4 linked regions of the Macaca mulatta genome follow. The protein of the gene in region 3 binds, or shares a complex with, the protein of the main gene of each other region. Links are inferred from orthologs where the notes say so. Each region holds a gene or a part of one and is shown on either strand. Other genes may lie near its edges.

Region 1 (4,167 bases), on a different chromosome or scaffold from region 3:
GTTGCTCCGCCCGAAAGCCTGAGCAGCTCACGGCTTGAGATCGCATTTTGGGGAGCTGGAGGTCCCCGGCAGGTCCCAGCTTCGAATCCCACCCTGAGATCCCACCCCGAGTCCGAGGTTGCCCCGAACTCCGCGCCTCTGGGCTTCTCTGGAAGTGACGCAGCACTGCCGGGGGTTGGGATGGGAGGGGGTTCTGCAGTGAGCGCGGGAGGCAGGTGGCAGAGCGGGAGTGGGTCCAAGCGGGTGTCGCGCACACACGTACACACACTCCAAGCAGCGCTCGGGGACAGATGTGCGAACATCTGGGGTAGGAGATGGCCCCTGAGTCTTCACGACCCCTCCCGCTCCGCACAGCACACGGAACCTGAAGTTGCATGTGTGTGCGCGCCGGTGTGAGTGCCAGTGTGTGCGCGCTCGCGCGCTGGGGCCTACCGGAGTCCGTGTCTGAATACATAATATACTGTGGGCATCCTCATGGCGCGCGCGCGTGTGCACACATACACTGCGAATCACACAAACATACATAATTTACGCAGCATCCAGGTCTGTGAGAGGTAATTTATTTCCGCTTCAAGCTGGGAATTTAGAAATAAGGCAAGAAGGAATGGGGGAGGCCCAGAAAATCTCCCCAAGTGGGACCCCCCACCCATCCCTTTGATAGGATTTGCAGCTGCCCTGAAGACCACTTATGGCAAAGAAAGAGCTGCAAACCATTTCTTTGCCAAAGAAATGGCAAAGGCATTTCTGAATTTTCTTCCCCCTTCAAATAAATGCCCAAGCTTTAAGTGGTGCGTGTGCTGGATGGGGGGCGTGGAGAGAAGGAAGGGTGACAGTACCAGATGCAAAGCTAGGACCCACTAGCTGATGTTCTGGGGGATGCCCAGGAGGCTGCAGAGTTAGCCCTGCCACTGCCGCCATCACCTTGCAAGTGCCTTGGGTGAGGGCACTTCGGGAAGGCTTTTTCGCCTTTCTTTCACCCGTTTCCTCCATAGATGGTTTCTCCATCTCCAGTCACCTGTAGCAGCTGCTAAGAGTTTTGTTGTCAGATTCCAGACACTGTTCTCAGTGAGGTAGAGAGGCTCACTCTAGAGAGTGGTCCCAGGAAGGAAGCACAAACCCCACTGCATTCCCCATGGATTCCCCTTTCCAGAGCCTTGCCGCTCCCCACAAATGCGGTCCCCAGACTGTTCTGGGCCTCGAAGTGCTCATCTCCACAGCAGCCTGTCCACACACCCTTTTTGGCAGTGGTTGAGAACAAATTCCACTCAAAAGTTTCTAACCACGAGTGAGAGACCTTTGAGGGCCTGCAATTTGTTTTAGCTAATAAGAATTTCTAAAAGAACATATGATTTACTTTCCCAGACGACACATGGATGAAGAGAGAAGAGACCAACTGTCTTGGTTGCCAGCAGTGCCCAACCCCAAGCCCCTATCTCAGCCACAAGCCAACTTGCTCCACCAGCCTGAGCCCTATGATTCTGAGGCATAACCAGCCATTCTCCAAAGAATCGACAGCATTTGAAAACCAAAACGAAACTCTTGTCTTTCCCAAGCCCTTCAGTGAACATTGCTCCATGTAGCTAAGTGGAGGGAATGCAAATGATTTATATTGCACTGGCTGGTTGGAGAAACTCAAGGGAGATGTGTTCTGCTTCAAGACAGGGAAAAAAAATTCCCAAAAACTGTAATGCAAAGGCTTTGTAGTATTTTTAAACCTTTGATTCAGTCCATATGTGACATCTGAACACCGCCAAATTCTGTTTCAAAACACACACACACACACACACACACACACACACACACACACACACTCCTAGCAGGAGAGAAAAGTTGGGTTTTAGCAACAGTGGTGGTGTAGGAAGGGCCGGCCGGGATCTCTCTTTAAATTATTGAGTACTGAGGGAGCCTCCTTCTGTGCCTTTCTGCGTGGCCTTCCTGCTTTAGCGGTCGCTTTTAAAGGGGAAACCATGTTGCAATAAATAGAAAAAACTTTCAGTGGCTTACCTGGTTGGCCTCTCACTTGGTGTCTTGAAAAGTAGAGGGCTAAGAAAACCCAGGTGAGAGGAAACATATCCATTTTGGAGAAGGTGGCTCTCTCCAGAGCTGGGTTCGTAGGTTTCTTGTTTAAATCTTTGTGTTTTTCTCTCTTATTTTCTTCCGTACAACGTCTTATGCAGAGGTTTCTAATGGTCAGTGTTTCCCTCCTGAGTCCTGGTGGCTTGTCTTCACCTTTATTCTTGCTGGAATTTCCACCTCACCAGGAGGAGAGTAGCTCCTGAAATCAGCAAAGAGGGAACAAGCCGGGAAGAGGACACGGCTTTCCTCTCAAAAACAAAACGCATGTATGTTCTCTCCAGTTCCTCAAAGTGTCATTTCCTTTATCCTACAATATCACGAGTATTTCCCGAAAGCCAAGCGTAACAATAATGATAATAATAATAATTAAAGCCAAGACTTGCCTTGGGCATCACACGGCCCCCAGGCAGCTGTGTGATCTCAGAGGCGTAAATTGACACACATCCCGCGGCACCCTTGACGGACACGCGGGCAGAGGCAGCAGCCGCTGGACAGCCGGAGTGGAAGGCGGCCGCCCTGCTCTTGTCCTCGCCGGGTTCCCCCGGCGGGAGCCTCCACCGGCGGCTACACCCGCTTGGCCAGCCTCTCGAGGGGAGTCTGAGAAAGGAAGCTGCTGCTGCTGTTGCTGCTGGTGGTGCGGCGGCTGGGATCGCCTGGGAGTGAGCGAGCCCCTCTCCGAGTTCGCTGGCGCCCGCCCTCACCTCCACCTCGCCCAGTGTCTGCGCGGCTGAGGATGTGCTGGGGGCCGGCTGCAGGCTGGTGCCTCGCTCGTGATCTCTGCCTCCCCTCCGGCTCCCCACTGCCTTTTCAGGCCGAGCAGCATGTGGATGTCAGAGCCGCGGCAGAGCTATCCGATTACGCGCCGGCTCAGGGCCCGCCCCTTCTGTGTTCCTGATTAAAGAGGCAGCCGCGGAGACGCGCGGCGCAGAGCCGAGTGCCGCGGCACCCACCTCGGGCGGGGCGGCGGCAGCTTCTCCCGGGCCGCCGCAGGATCGAAGTTAAGGCGGCGCCTACCCCACAGCCCCTCGCCCGCCCCGCATCTCCCGATCGCCCCCGCGCACCTCCGCGCCGGGCCTCCAGTGCGTAACGCCCTGGGGAAGAAGCGCCCCCCGGCACCTCCAGGGCGCGCTGCCCTTGGCCGTGTCGCCCCCACCCGAGGGAGACCCCGGGGGAAGGGGGGGAAGCCTTGTTCCCCCTAAATTCCACGACTCCGATGCCACACACGCAGAATCCAACACAATGCCACGCGCAATGGCGTTACAAGAGGAGTTGGGTGGCGTACGGTGTTTGGGGTAGCAAGCCGGTCGGCAGCTCAGCCATGCGTTCGAACAGGCAGCGGTGCGTGGCGGCGACACACACCGTCAGCCCGGGCTGAATAAAACCCCAAACACTCGCTGCGTTTACTACTCAGATCCTTTGTTATGTCCCAAACATGCTCTGCTCCTCTCTGGGTTAGGATTTCGTTATCCCTGCGCTTTTAACTTGTAACTATCCTAAAAAGAGGAAAGACTTTCTTCAGCAAAGGATTTCTTCAGGTAATTAAATTGGATTCCCTCAAGTCCCCCCGAAAAAGTATGGGTGCTTGAAGGCTTCTCATCCAAATGCTACTGTAACTACGTCTATTCACATTTTCCCCCATAGAAACGTGGTCACAAAGCCCAGAGAAAGAAAACAGCATTATGCCAACTATTTTTAAATGGAGGCGTGAAAACTGTTTAGAGGGAACTGCAAACTAACAGTTGGGGAAACACTTGTATCTTTGTTTCTGAGGATGGCTTTGTGGATTCCAAACTGTCTTGCTTCACCAGACACCTATTACTACATTATCATAAAGACTCCCACAGAAACAGCCTAAATTACACCCTGCACATGTACACCTTTTCTGCCACAAAAGAGGTATATGAAAAATAAGAACATTCAGAAAACTGTTTACAGATTAAGATTTTTTTTAATTAAGAAAGTAAAATTTTCCGTAGATTAAGAAAAATACAGTTTCAGTGACAAGGAACACACACCTGACTGTCCCATTTTCTTCTTGGCTTGCACTTGTGGATTCTTCTGCGTGGTTTCCCTCCTTATCTGGACTTGCCC
Region 2 (4,014 bases), on a different chromosome or scaffold from region 3:
AGGACAAAGAAAAAGATCTGTAGCTTTCATCCAGGCTGTGATACCTTAAAAGTAGGAAATGAGGCTCAGAGCTGGAGAAAGAGTACTGGTATCCTTTACAGAGAAAGAGCAATAGAGAGGACTTGAAAGTATCTGAATTATTAGCATCTTTTTATTTCCCAGAAGATCTGGAAGAGGTAAATAAACTCTTTAGAGGGGAAAGGCATTATCTTTTTGTATTACTGAGCCTCTGGTTATTTTACATCTCAATGCATGTGCACACCAGGCATGCACACACACACACAATATTAATAGCTGATAAGTATTCAAAGATTACATAGCACCTGAAGGAAAGCAGACCCAGGTTCATAATGATGCAAGAGAATTCTGCAGGGCGGAAATGTGGCTTCTTACTAGACATTGCTTCCCGGATATGCAGCCCCTCAGTTGAGCATGAAAGCCCTGATGCGGTTTGTAAAGTAGGTGGTAGCTGATGGTTTTACTGTGAGATGTTTGTTAACCAGACAGAGAAACTATGGGTTTTCAAAAGCACCTACGCTGCAGACTGAGCTAACATGAGCTAACAGAGTATTCTGTTAACTGTCAGGTAAAGAGGCTCTCACCTTGCCAATGTTAGTCCTTTCTTCCAAAAAAGTGCAAAAAAAAAACAAAACAAAACAAAACAAAATCAGAGTTCGAAAACTGCTGCCCCATTTCAGTAAATTATAATCTAAGAAAAATCACAAGAGGATCCCACTCACGTTTCTGTAAAGTTTCCACCGAACTAAGATGGTCCCAATTACAAACAAAACGATGCTTCACTAAAGTCAGCATGTTTTTGAAATAAAGATATATCTATGTGAAGTAGAAAAACTAATAAATCACATACTTTTCCCTCCATAATTTTAGATTCATGTAATTTACCTAGATTTATCTTTACATAATAGTCGAGTGAGGTATTTAAATTCTCTAAGCAATTATATTTTAATACAAGTGACTTTTCAAAACAAAAAATGTATTTGTGAAATAGAAAATACAACATTTTATTTAATAGAGTTATGTTAGCATCTTTCCCAACCTACAGTGAGTTCTCAGAAGTTACTACTTCGCCCTGTCTCCGGGTTCAGTAGTTTCACCAATCTAACTGGAACTATTACTTGTTACTTGGAAACTGACCTTCTAGTTAGTCTTCCCACTGAGAAAGAATATTTAACTATTACTGCTTTTTAGGTTTAACAAGCTTTTTTTTGTTGTGGTGGTGGTTTTAATATGCTCCATCTTATTGACTTTTCCTCCCGGGAATCATTGCAATGATTTATTTTATACTACTGTATTTTATTACATATTTTACCTTTTCTCCACGATGCTTAAAAGAAAGGCGCTCCGAAATCTGGCTCTCTGCGCCCAGGGGAACGAGGCACAAGGCTCCGCCACTCAGCCCCACTGAGCAGAGGCTGCGAGTCCGAACCCTCAAGTTCCTTGGGGCTTTGACCCCTCGATGGCGGCGGTCTAACTGCTGGTAAAACCCCCAGCCCCTGACGGTTCCACCGCCCGTCTTCCAAACGCCCAGCGAAGGCTGACTTAGGTGGCGGGCGGACCTTACCGATTCCTCAAACCGCATCGTTTGGTCAAAATCGCCCGCCCTCTCTTCGCTGGGATTTTAAAGGCTAGGCTTATTAAGTCAGTAACTTAACAGTATTTGGGCCCTGGGCTGCCCTCGTCGGTCAGGGTCACTGATGTCGGCGACACTGGCTGGACCGCGCACCCCGCCTGCTCCCGGCAGAGGCCCCACCCGGTGGCTGAGCGCAGCGCACTGGGGCCCCGCGGTCCGCGCGCGGCTGGGAGGAGCGGACGCTCACCGCGCGTTCCCCGGGACAGTGCGGCTCGGCGGCCCTAGCGGGTCATGAGATGCCGGCCCTGGCCCTCTCTTGCGTTCCTCCTGCTCCCCGCAGGCACGCGTCTCCTCCAAATCGGCTCCCCTCCTTCACTCTCGTGGCGCGAGGTCGCGGCCGGTGCCCAATATCACCAACGCCCCGGCCTCAGCCCAGCGCCGCCCTGGGCAGCCTGGCAGGCATTCAGGAGCCTCTGCTCCCGGCTCCAGGCGACCCCGTGTATCTGCGCCAGGCCGCCTGGGAGCGGGCTCTGGGTGCCAGGCAGGTCCAGGTGCGTGGGGCTCCTAGTGCCCGGGGCCTCGGCAGTGAGACCCCAACCCAACAGCTGCATAAGGGATCGGCAACCCTGTCGCAAACGGACAGCCCCAGCGCGGACCCCGTCTGAGCGCTGATGCTCGCGGGTCCAGGCCAGCCACTCCCCGAGGCGCTCCCTCGGAAAAAGGGCGCAGCGGCCCCAAGCGTGCCCGCTGCAACTAGTGTCCCAGGTTCTCGCCGTAGCCAGCTTCTCGGGGCTGCAGCCCTGTCTCCCCGCGTGCACCCGACCCTGGCCTCGGAGGCTCTGCCCTCCGGCCGCCCCATCGCAGCCTGCCTCAGGCCCCGGCCCCCGGCCGCGCCTCACCTGTGAGAAGCAGACAGCCTAGCAGCGCGCACAGCAGGACCCCGGTGTCCCAGCAGAAGACCATGGTGAGTGCGACGCGGCCTGCTCGCCCGGTGCCCGCGCTCCCCGCGGCCAACGACCCGGCCGCCCAAGTCCTTCCTCTTGTTCTCCGCCGCCGCCGGACCCGCGCCCCGAGCGCCCGTCTCGCGGCTCCAGCCAGGAGACAACCACTTCCCCGGGTAATCCTCGCCGCCAGGCGCCCGCTGGCCGCTGCGCCTGAGTCCCGGAGCCCGCTCCGAGCCGCCGCCGCTGCTTGGGAGGAGCGGAGAGGAGTGTCCGCCTGGCGCGCTCCGAGCCTCCCGCGGACCTCGATGAAGAGGAGCCGAGGGCGGGGGCGATTTATAACCTTTCCCCAGCCCACTTCCTACCCCGGCACCTCCTTCTGGTGACGTCAAGGGGTCCCCCACCCCTCATCCGCCTCCCCACCTACCCTCTTCTTCCTCCCAAGCTCGCTTCCCTGCGGCTACGGAGAGGGGCGGGGGCCGACGAGGGCGGGTGGCCCGGGGCCGAGCGCGCGTGGGGAGGTGCTGGCGACGCGGGCCCGGGAGCGCGGCCCCGGCAGGTTCAGGGTCTTTGCTCCGCGCCCTCTTGCCCTTGCCCCTCCTCCTGCCCATCGCGCTCAGGAAATCCTTGCAGACTCCCTCCACCCGGCTTACTCAGCTCTGGGGGCCGCCCGAAACTGGGGAAGGGACAAGGCTGAAGCTCCGCCGCCCGGCCCTAGGGGCGGAAAGTCCGATCCAAGGGAAGCTGGCCGCGCCTCCGCGACGGTGTTCTTGGCACCGAGGACTGAGGCGCAGTCCGGCTGTCTCCCCTTGCCTGCTCTTCCCGCGCTGTCCCGCCGCTTCTGACCCCGTCAGACTGTCCCGAGAAGTCTAGGAAGGCACCAGAGACCCTCGGCACAAGGCACTGAACCTGGAGCGCCTGAGGGGAACTGACGCTTGCCTGGCACCTTTGGGAAGACTGCGAAACAGCTCAGGTCCCAGGGGAGCGCGTCCGTGTCTTTTTCGGTCGCATTGATGCACCCGCCCAAGTCATTTCCTCAATCTTCTGCTTCCTAGAAGCAAAACAAGGAATAACATTATGATACCTTTAAAAAGCTGAGGCGTGAAACTGCTCCTGCAACTTGGAAGCGCACAGCACTTGAACTTTATTTCCTAAATGCTCGAAAAAGAAATCTTTCTGGTGGCAGCTTGCTACTCAAGATGAGTGACTCTGACCACAACCGGGTGAAATTAACTTGAGGCACTAGATCATTTGCTATGACACTAATTCCACGTTGTTCCTCAATTATGTCTCCATTACCTCAAAGGCTGAAATCGTCCTGGGCTGCACGGAGCAGCCCAGTCTTGTCTCTGTAAATACCGCAGGTTTGAAAAATAGCCCTCTTGGAACCCGTCAGAGGGACATAATACAAGGGGCTGTGATGGCACTTGAACGGAGCCAGCGACTCTTCCTGAAGGACTGGACTACCTCCCCGCCTGGGAA
Region 3 (4,088 bases):
TCCCACACACCCCCCATGCACCCCACTCAGGTCCCCCAGCCCTGGTCCCAGGACAGCCAAGGTCAGAGGAAGCCCCTCTCAAGAGAAAACAGTTCCCAGGTTTCCAGCTGGTCAGCTTCCCACTGCGGCTCCTCCAGGGACCCCCTGGATTCTGTACCTCAGCCCCTCACCCATTCCCATGACACCCCCTGCCTTCCCCCTGACAATATTCTCCCTGGACCCTCCACTCCTCCTGGGCCCGAACGAGGAAAGGGGACAGAAATTTCGTACCCCTTCCAAGGCCAGGGGGCACAGGAGGGGCGGTTCTGGGCAGACAGGGGCCAGGTGTCCTTCTCTGGGGGCCTCTGAAGGTCATACTGTGGCCAGGCAGCCACTCCTCCCCCTCCTCCCTACTTGGAGGCCTGTAGCCAAGGCCTTTGTGCCAGGGTCTGAGGAACTTGTGTTGTTAGCAGCGACCCCTGTCCATAGCTTTCCTCGTGCCTTCTCTCCAAGGGAATTCTGGCTGAGGGAAGGCGTCAGGGAGGAGCGGAAAGGGACCCTTTAGGTGGCTTTAAGCAGAAGCAAGTTGGGTGGGCAAGTTTGGAGTTCCAAAAAACCACCTGCTCCAGCGCTGCCTTCCACCAGGACAAAGTGTGTGCAAGGCTGGCAGGAGCTCCTTTCCAGGGTTCACGAAGAACTATTCCCATGCTGCCCGTGTCACAGCAAATTTCAAGCCATTTCTCCAAAAGGGTAAAGTGGGGCAATGACTCTCTTCAAACCCTCCCTTGACCCACCCCCAGAGAGTTAAAGCACAGCTCACTCGGAACTGTTGTGGAGGGAAGGGAAGCACACTGTCACCAAGTCGGGACTTTCGGTGGAGTGTGACAAAGCGCCCGGTGGGCTCCCGCGCCACGACTTCTGACAGTGATCATCCTTTCCCTGGACTCTGGGGCCAGAAAGGGGTTAGATGGATCTTCTCCGCAGAGAGGAATGAAAATAAAAGGGGTGACAGGGCTTTCTCTCCACGATAGAAAGGAAATGGGTAAAGAGAAGGGGCGTCAGGAAATTCCTCCTAGCACTGGGCAGGGGTAGGGTCTGGAGACAGTAGGAAGGGGTAGGGATGGTTCTTCGGATCCCCGGGCTGGGGCTACCTCGCGAAGTCACCTTCCCGCGGAGGGGTGGCGGGGGGAGGGGTGCCGCTCGCCACTCTGGGCTCCCCATTCGGGCAGCCGAGGCTCCGGGAACACGCGGCCGGCCAGGCCCGGGCTGATGTAATCGGCTCCGCGCCGCGCGCACCCGGCCGGGCGGGGGAGGGCGGGCACCGAGCGGGACGCGAGCGGAGACGGGCGGGGTTGGCGCGGCGCAGGTGGCCCAGCAGGGAGGGGGGGTCCCCGCCGCAATCTACCCCAAAACTTTTCCCCAACTCGCGGCGAGGGCCGAAGAGACCGAGGGGCAGTGACAGCAAGCCCCCTCTCCCTCCTGCGCCCTGCCCCCTCCACGCTCTCTGCCCTCCGGCGGTCCAAGGTCCGAGCACCCCCCTGCCGGCTGGTCTCTGGCTCCCGCCCCCGCTGCCCGGACTTCCAGTTCGTCTGGGACCAGCGGCCGGGAGCAAACTTCAGCCGGCAGCGGCAACGCAAGCCCAGCCCCCTCGGCCTCCTCCTCCGGCTCCCGCCCTCGGCTGGTCGGCCCAGATCGTACGTGCGGTGACTCCGGTGGGTGGGCAGGGCCCGCGTGGGCGGTGAGCCTCTCTCCGGGTGCCCTCCCACCTAGCGCGCGCCCCCTCCCCCTGCACCTAAGACGACAGAGGGGGACGCCGCGCGCCTGGTGCCCATGGACCCGCGTGGGGCACGGAGCCCCCACGCGCGCGCTCGCACGCACGTCCCCAGCCGGGAGAGGCGCTCGCAGCTGCCCGCGGCGCCAGCCGGGCACGACCACTTACCTTGGCATGGTGGAGGTACAGCAGCAAGGCAAGGCTCCAATGCACCCAAGAGAGCAGAAAGTTCATGGTTTCGGAGGCCCGACCGGGGCCGGCACGGCTCGCGCTCCCTCTCCGGCTCGGGCTGTGGGGCGGCCCGCTCTCTTCGGCGCCTCGGCGAGCTCCTCTTCCTCCCCGGGCCGAGGCCCGGGCCAGGGCCTGGGGCGCGCGCGCGGCTGGAGCACTGTCTGCGCACACCGCCGCCTCACCCGTCCATGAGCCCGGCTTCCAAGCGCCGAGTCGCCACCGCGGCCCCCTCTCTTCTTCCTTCTCTTCTTCCTCCTCCCCCTCCTCCGGCTGCGGCTCCTCCCGGCCCGAGCTAGCACTTCTCGCGGCTCCGCTCGGCTCGGCTTCCCCGGCGCGGACCACGGCTCCTCCGAAGCGAGAACAGCCCAGAAGTTGGACGAAAAGTTTCAGTGCGACGCCGCGAGCCCCGACCCCCTCCACCCCGCCTCCGGGCGCGGGCTCCGGCCCCTGCCCGCGGCTCGCCGCCGCGTCCACTGTCGGCCGCCGGCCGGGGAGGAGGTGGGCGCTGGGGCTGGGGGCGGTGTCTGTCTGTCTGTCCGTCAGCGCTACTGGTCCGCTGCGGGATCCCAAGGGGGAGGGCTCACGCCGCGCTCCGGCGGTCACCCCCAAAAGCAGGTCACTCACTTTGCCCCTGTCCCTCTCGCTGCTCGCACGCCCGCGCGCTCTCTCTGACCCCGTCTCTCTCTTCCTCGACTTCTCTCTGGAGCTCTTGCTACCTCTTTCCTCTTTCTGCTGGTTTCCAAAATCCACAGTGATTTGGGGAAGTAAAGCAATCTCCCCAAGCCGTCGGCCCGATTCAAGTGGGGAATGGCAAGCAAAAATAAATTAAAACGGGAAACAATACAGTTTAAAAAAAAAAATGTTTAAGAAAAAAGAAGAGGGATAAACCCCGGATCAATGAATATCAAATTCCAGCACGGAGCGCCCTGGCGGGTGAGTCCGCTGACCGGTCCACCTAGCCGCTGCGCCTCCCGACAGAGCGCTGGTGCTAGCCCCCAGCGCCACGACCTCCGAGCTACCCGGCTGCCCCAAACCTCCGCGATCCTCCCCGCTACCAGCCGACTTTAAAAAAAGAGGGTGCCTGGCTCCGCCCCGCCTGGACCCCGCCCCCGGCCCGCCCCGGGGGGCGGGGACAGGCGAGCCTCAGCCCCTCCACACGCGGCTCGGGCCCGGGCTCTGCGGACGCCCAGCGAAGCCTGGCCCGCAGCCCGCCGCAATGAAGGGGAAGCTCGACCCCCACCAGGGTTCACAGCCTGAAAATTACCCATCCGCCCCCGGAAACTCTGTCCAGAGACACGCGCCCGCGGGGCATTGGCGAGGAGGGAGCAGGAAAGTGAGGTTACGTGCGGACAGGGCCTGAGAGCCATTCCCTCTCTGCTAGGAATATTGAAGGGGGCAGGGGAAGGCGGACAGCCCGACAGGGACGGGTGGGGAGAGGGACACACAGATCTATTGGAATCCTGGAGTGACCCCTGGCCTTCTCCCTGCTCCAACGCCCTCAACCCCTACACGCACACGCACACGCACACACTCACCCACACAGACACACGTCCTCACTCTCGAAGACGCTGCTCGCTCCATTCACCCAGCTTCCCTGTGGTGGCCGAGCGCCCCCTAGTGACTGCCGTCTGCACACCCCGGCTCTGGCTAAAGAGGGAATGGGCTCTGGAGAGGGGTGTGCAGAGGGGTGGGGGGAGTTTGCTCCTGAACCCCCTATTTCTGACCTCCCAAACAGCTACATATTTGGGACTGGAGTTGCTTCATGTACAGAGAGCCCAGGGCTAGGCACAGGGGGCACAGTGTGTCCCTCTGACAATGTGCCATCTGGAGCCCTCATCTGGCCCGCAGACATCAAAGTGAGCGGCAGCCAACAGGCTGGAGTGACTGGGGTCCTTTGGGAAGTGTCCAGGGATGCTTCCCGGGGGGGAAGAATTTGGCACCAAGTTTGTGGAGCTGAGAACGGGAAGCTGTGTGGTTCCGGGGTTAGTCAGTGACTGGGAGGGAAGAGGACCTGTTGGAGCCCACGTATGCACTGTGGAGTCTGGCAAAACCCAAAGGGGGAGGCAACTGGGCAGACAGAGGCCCTTGTTCCTGCTGCCCCCCCAAC
Region 4 (3,559 bases), on a different chromosome or scaffold from region 3:
CATCTGAGTCTTTCATTCCCTCTCCCTCTTCCTCCCTCCCTCCCTCTCCACTCCCTTTCCCTCTTCCCCTTTCTTCCTTCTCCCTTCTCTCACTTCCTTCTTTCTTCTCTCCCTTTTTCCTTTCTTTCTTTTTTGACTCCAAAGTCAAAACTATTTCGTTACTACTGTCAACTTAAAGCCTCAGGTTATGCTTTCAAGACTTGACTTCTTTTTTATGTTTATTTCACATAGCAGAGTATATGCTAAAGTGAATAGAATATTTAGTGGCTTCATGAACTGATGAAATGGGCTATTTGCTGTCCATGTTTTGTTTTTATTTCCCGTTCATTTTCTCCTCCCATCCTACTTATACACTTTCCAGTTTCTCCTCTCCCCAGTCCCCTACACCTATGCTGCTTCTGAACAACCTCTGTGGAACCTGTTATCTTGTTTTTTTTTTTTTTTTGAGACGGAGTTTTGCTCTTGTCGCCCAGGCTGGAGTACAATCTCAGCTCACTGCAACCTCCACCTCCTGGGTTCAAGTGATTCTCCTGCCTCAGCCTCCCAAGTAGCTGGGATTACAGGCGCCCACCATCATGCCTGGCTAATTTTTGCATTTTTAGTAGAGACGGGATTTCATCACGTTGGCCAGGCTGATCTCAAACTTCTGACCTCAGGTGATCCATCCGCCTCGGCCTCCCAAAGTGCTGGGATTACGAATGCGAACCACCATGCCCAACCTATCTTTAAAATATTCCCTGAAAAAAAAAATAACGCCAAGTTCAGCAGCCTACAGAAGAGTATTAGGACACATAGGGAAGCACCTTAATGCCATGGGAAAATATCCTGAAGTTTTAATATGCCATACCAGAAGGGGGAACAAAGAATTACAACAGAGAAGCATTTCTCAAACTGTTTGGAGTGAGAGATTAATGAATTTGCTCAGGGGAAAAACGATGCTCCAGTCAAATAGGTTTGTTAAACCTTGAATACTCTATGTCTCTCCCCCTAGAGAATACCAATATACATTAGTATATAAAAGGTTCTGAGAAGTCCCTGTAATAAAGAAACCTGTTACACATCTACACATCACCTTAGCACCTCACACTCACTTGACCATGGCACCCTTCTCACCATTCCATTCCAAACACTTATTTGTACCTTTCAGTTTCAGAAAACAAAGTTCAAATCATCTTTAAATCAAAAACGTACTATTTTGCCTTTACAGACTCAAAATCAGACCCTGAACTCCTGTCAAAAAGGAAAAAAAAAGCCCCCAACCAAGCCAACAATGCCAACTTCAAAAGCCTTCAGAGTAGGAATCTGCCTGTACCTCACTGATACATCAACTATAATATCAAACTAGAAGCTTTGCACAAAATCTAAGGAGAAGGGTCTTACACATCTGTGTGCCAGGTGGGCAATTCCATGAGAGGGGAACATTGTAGTATAACTTAACTTGACAACTATCCCTGTGGGCATTATTTTTTCACAACATTTAAACTATCGAGGGTATCACTACTTTAATCTTGCATTTGACCACCACAAAGCTCATTTACATGGCCTCTTAAACAAACATGGCCAGAGCACACAGTCCTACATTTCACTTCAGCTTCACCACCCCAGATGACTTTTGTACATAGGCCCGGCCATGATGTGAGTGAAGCAGCTGGAGGCAGAGGAATGGTGGCCTGGCTGATTAGGAAGACAATGTATCATAATAAATCTTGGGCAGAGAGGAAAACTGAATGGACTCACCATACACAACCAGAGAGACCACGTGACTCTGCTTCTCCTTTGAAATGGGATTGGTAAGGATGACAGTGTAATTTCCTGTGTCTCTTTCGCTCACTTCCATGATCGTCAGTACGTGCCCCACTTTAACTGTGTGATTGGACTCAAGGGGTATTCCATTTTTATACCTATGAAAAAGAATTCTCAGGAATTAGTACAGTCGAAGGATTTGCTCTCACATGAAATGATGCTTTGTGTTTATTTCTAGTAGTTACCATTTTATTTCTGGGGGCGGGTAACCAAGGTACTTCACAGGGATTCTGACACGCTCCCCCACCGTGGCTTCCACCAGAGATTCCATGCCACTTCCAAAAGCAACAAAAGGTTTTTCTGCAAGAAATTTTTTTTTAAAGGTCAGCTTATTGTAAATGGTCGTTTGGTTTAGTTTTTCATTTCAAGTGAAACATCAAAAACATTGAGGGTCTGAGTAGCTGCAGTTCCAAGATTCCATGTACTACCTTTTAGTGGGTCACATTTCAGCTTCTCCCACACCTCCCGTGTTTCTCCCACACCTCCTGTGCTTGCATTTGCTTTTCTCTCCCCACTAGTGCACTCCCATAAGCCTAGTGATTGCTCAAGTCTCAACTCAAACACTTGCTCCTCTGTGCAGCTTTCTCTAAGTCCCCCAGAGATGCTTGGGTGCTCCTTCTCCTCTGCTCCCAAGACACACTCCACACACCTCTTCCACCATGTGTTAATAGGCCCGAGGACTCAGTCTTCAGACGTCCTCTTTATTTACACCTTCCTCTAGCCTCAAGTTTAAAGTAGCATTCACATACCTCCTAAATATGTGCCTTCTGCCCTGACTCCTCTGGGTTCCAGGTTGATATATTAAACATTTCCACTTGGATGTTTCATAGGCATCTCCAGAGAAACATATCTAACACTGTTTCCCTAAATTTCACTGCCTCCTCGATCTTTGCCATCTCAGTAAATACCACCACCATTTACTCAGTTGCTCATGCTAACACTTGGGTCATCTTCCACTCTTTTTCCCTTATACTCCACAACCAGTGAATTGATCAGCAGACCCTGTTGACTCTACCTTTGAAATATATCCAGAAGCAGATCACTTCTCACTATCTCTACCTCAACTACCCTTGTCCAAGCCACTCCTCAACTCTCACCTGGATAAACGTAATTAGCCTCCCAACTAACCTCCTTGTTTCTGCCCCTATTTCCCTGAAGTATCCTGGAGAACAAGAGTACTTCTATCAAAACATAAGCCAGAGCACGTCTCTCTCTGTGTATTTTGGCAAGTGCATCTTGGCAAGTGAAATAATTTGAATAAATTTAGGACACTTAGTGATTTCTATTTTGTTCATTCAGAAGAAACTTTCAAGTTCTTGCTAGGGAGGCCACATGACCTAGAGGTCAAGAGCATAGCTTTGTAGTCAGGAACTTGAGTTCCAATCTCAACTACTAAGATGAGATGAGCTAATAAAGTAAGGGCTCACTAAATCATACTTGTTGTAGTTGTTGCCACTTTTATGATTACAACTCTAATAAATAGTATTATCTAAGGTATTTTTACAATTCCACTTTACTGATGCATTCTCATGATATAAAATCCAAAATCCTTTCCAAGGCTTATAAGTAGGATGCCACACAAATTACCATGTAAACTCAGACATTTATGTAAATGAAAGAGAATTAACAAAAAATTAAGGTGATTTACTCAAAGCCAGTTCAATTTAATTCCAGTTCAATTACAGTTGACCCTTAAACAACATAAATTTGAACTACATGAGTCCACTTATAAGCAGATTTTCTTCCACCTCTGTCA

Evidence for each region.
Region 1: the proteins of VEGFA (region 3) and NRP2 are in contact, whole or in part, in a crystal structure (PDB 5DN2), measured with the Homo sapiens proteins. The link is inferred for Macaca mulatta from reciprocal best matches to the Homo sapiens genes VEGFA and NRP2. Residues at the interface, in NP_003367.4 of Homo sapiens: Lys392, Pro393, Arg394, Arg395; in NP_957718.1 of Homo sapiens: Tyr299, Ser300, Asp301, Trp304, Thr319, Asp323, Ser349, Glu351, Thr352, Asn354, Tyr356, Gly417, Ile418.
Region 2: the proteins of VEGFA (region 3) and FLT1 are in contact, whole or in part, in a crystal structure (PDB 5T89), measured with the Homo sapiens proteins. The link is inferred for Macaca mulatta from reciprocal best matches to the Homo sapiens genes VEGFA and FLT1. Residues at the interface, in NP_003367.4 of Homo sapiens: Phe242, Pro246, Asp247, Ile249, Glu250, Tyr251, Ile252, Lys254, Met287, Ile289, Lys290, Pro291, His292, Gln295, Ile297; in NP_002010.2 of Homo sapiens: Ile142, Pro143, Ile145, His147, Leu221, His223, Gln225, Asn227, Asn259, Thr260, Arg261, Val262, Gln263, Met264, Ser277, Val278, Arg279, Arg280, Phe292, Tyr293, Ser315, Pro317.
Region 4: the proteins of VEGFA (region 3) and KDR are in contact, whole or in part, in a crystal structure (PDB 3V2A), measured with the Homo sapiens proteins. The link is inferred for Macaca mulatta from reciprocal best matches to the Homo sapiens genes VEGFA and KDR. Residues at the interface, in NP_003367.4 of Homo sapiens: Pro246, Asp247, Ile249, Glu250, Ile252, Lys254, Met287, Ile289, Pro291, His292, Gln295, Ile297; in NP_002244.1 of Homo sapiens: His133, Val135, Tyr137, Ile215, Val216, Val217, Val218, Val219, Gly220, Tyr221, Asn253, Gly255, Ile256, Asp257, Phe258, Val273, Asn274, Arg275, Asp276, Phe288, Ser311, Gly312, Leu313.

What each region holds. Positions count from the first base shown.
Region 1 is NC_133417.1:110,938,408-110,942,574, reverse strand, and holds the start of NRP2 (neuropilin-2), read right to left. Parts: upstream 2,856-4,167; 5' UTR 2,078-2,855; coding exon 2,005-2,077; intron 1-2,004.
Region 2 is NC_133422.1:8,481,191-8,485,204, forward strand, and holds the start of FLT1 (vascular endothelial growth factor receptor 1), read right to left. Parts: upstream 2,843-4,014; 5' UTR 2,555-2,842; coding exon 2,491-2,554; intron 1-2,490. UniProt on the Homo sapiens protein: Tyrosine-protein kinase that acts as a cell-surface receptor for VEGFA, VEGFB and PGF, and plays an essential role in the development of embryonic vasculature, the regulation of angiogenesis, cell survival, cell migration, macrophage function, chemotaxis, and cancer cell invasion.
Region 3 is NC_133409.1:138,344,479-138,348,566, forward strand, and holds the start of VEGFA (vascular endothelial growth factor A, long form), read right to left. Parts: upstream 2,842-4,088; 5' UTR 2,525-2,841; coding exon 1,919-2,524; intron 1-1,918.
Region 4 is NC_133410.1:78,389,095-78,392,653, reverse strand, and holds part of KDR (vascular endothelial growth factor receptor 2), read right to left. Parts: intron 2,104-3,559; coding exon 1,989-2,103; intron 1,902-1,988; coding exon 1,738-1,901; intron 1-1,737. UniProt on the Homo sapiens protein: Tyrosine-protein kinase that acts as a cell-surface receptor for VEGFA, VEGFC and VEGFD. Plays an essential role in the regulation of angiogenesis, vascular development, vascular permeability, and embryonic hematopoiesis.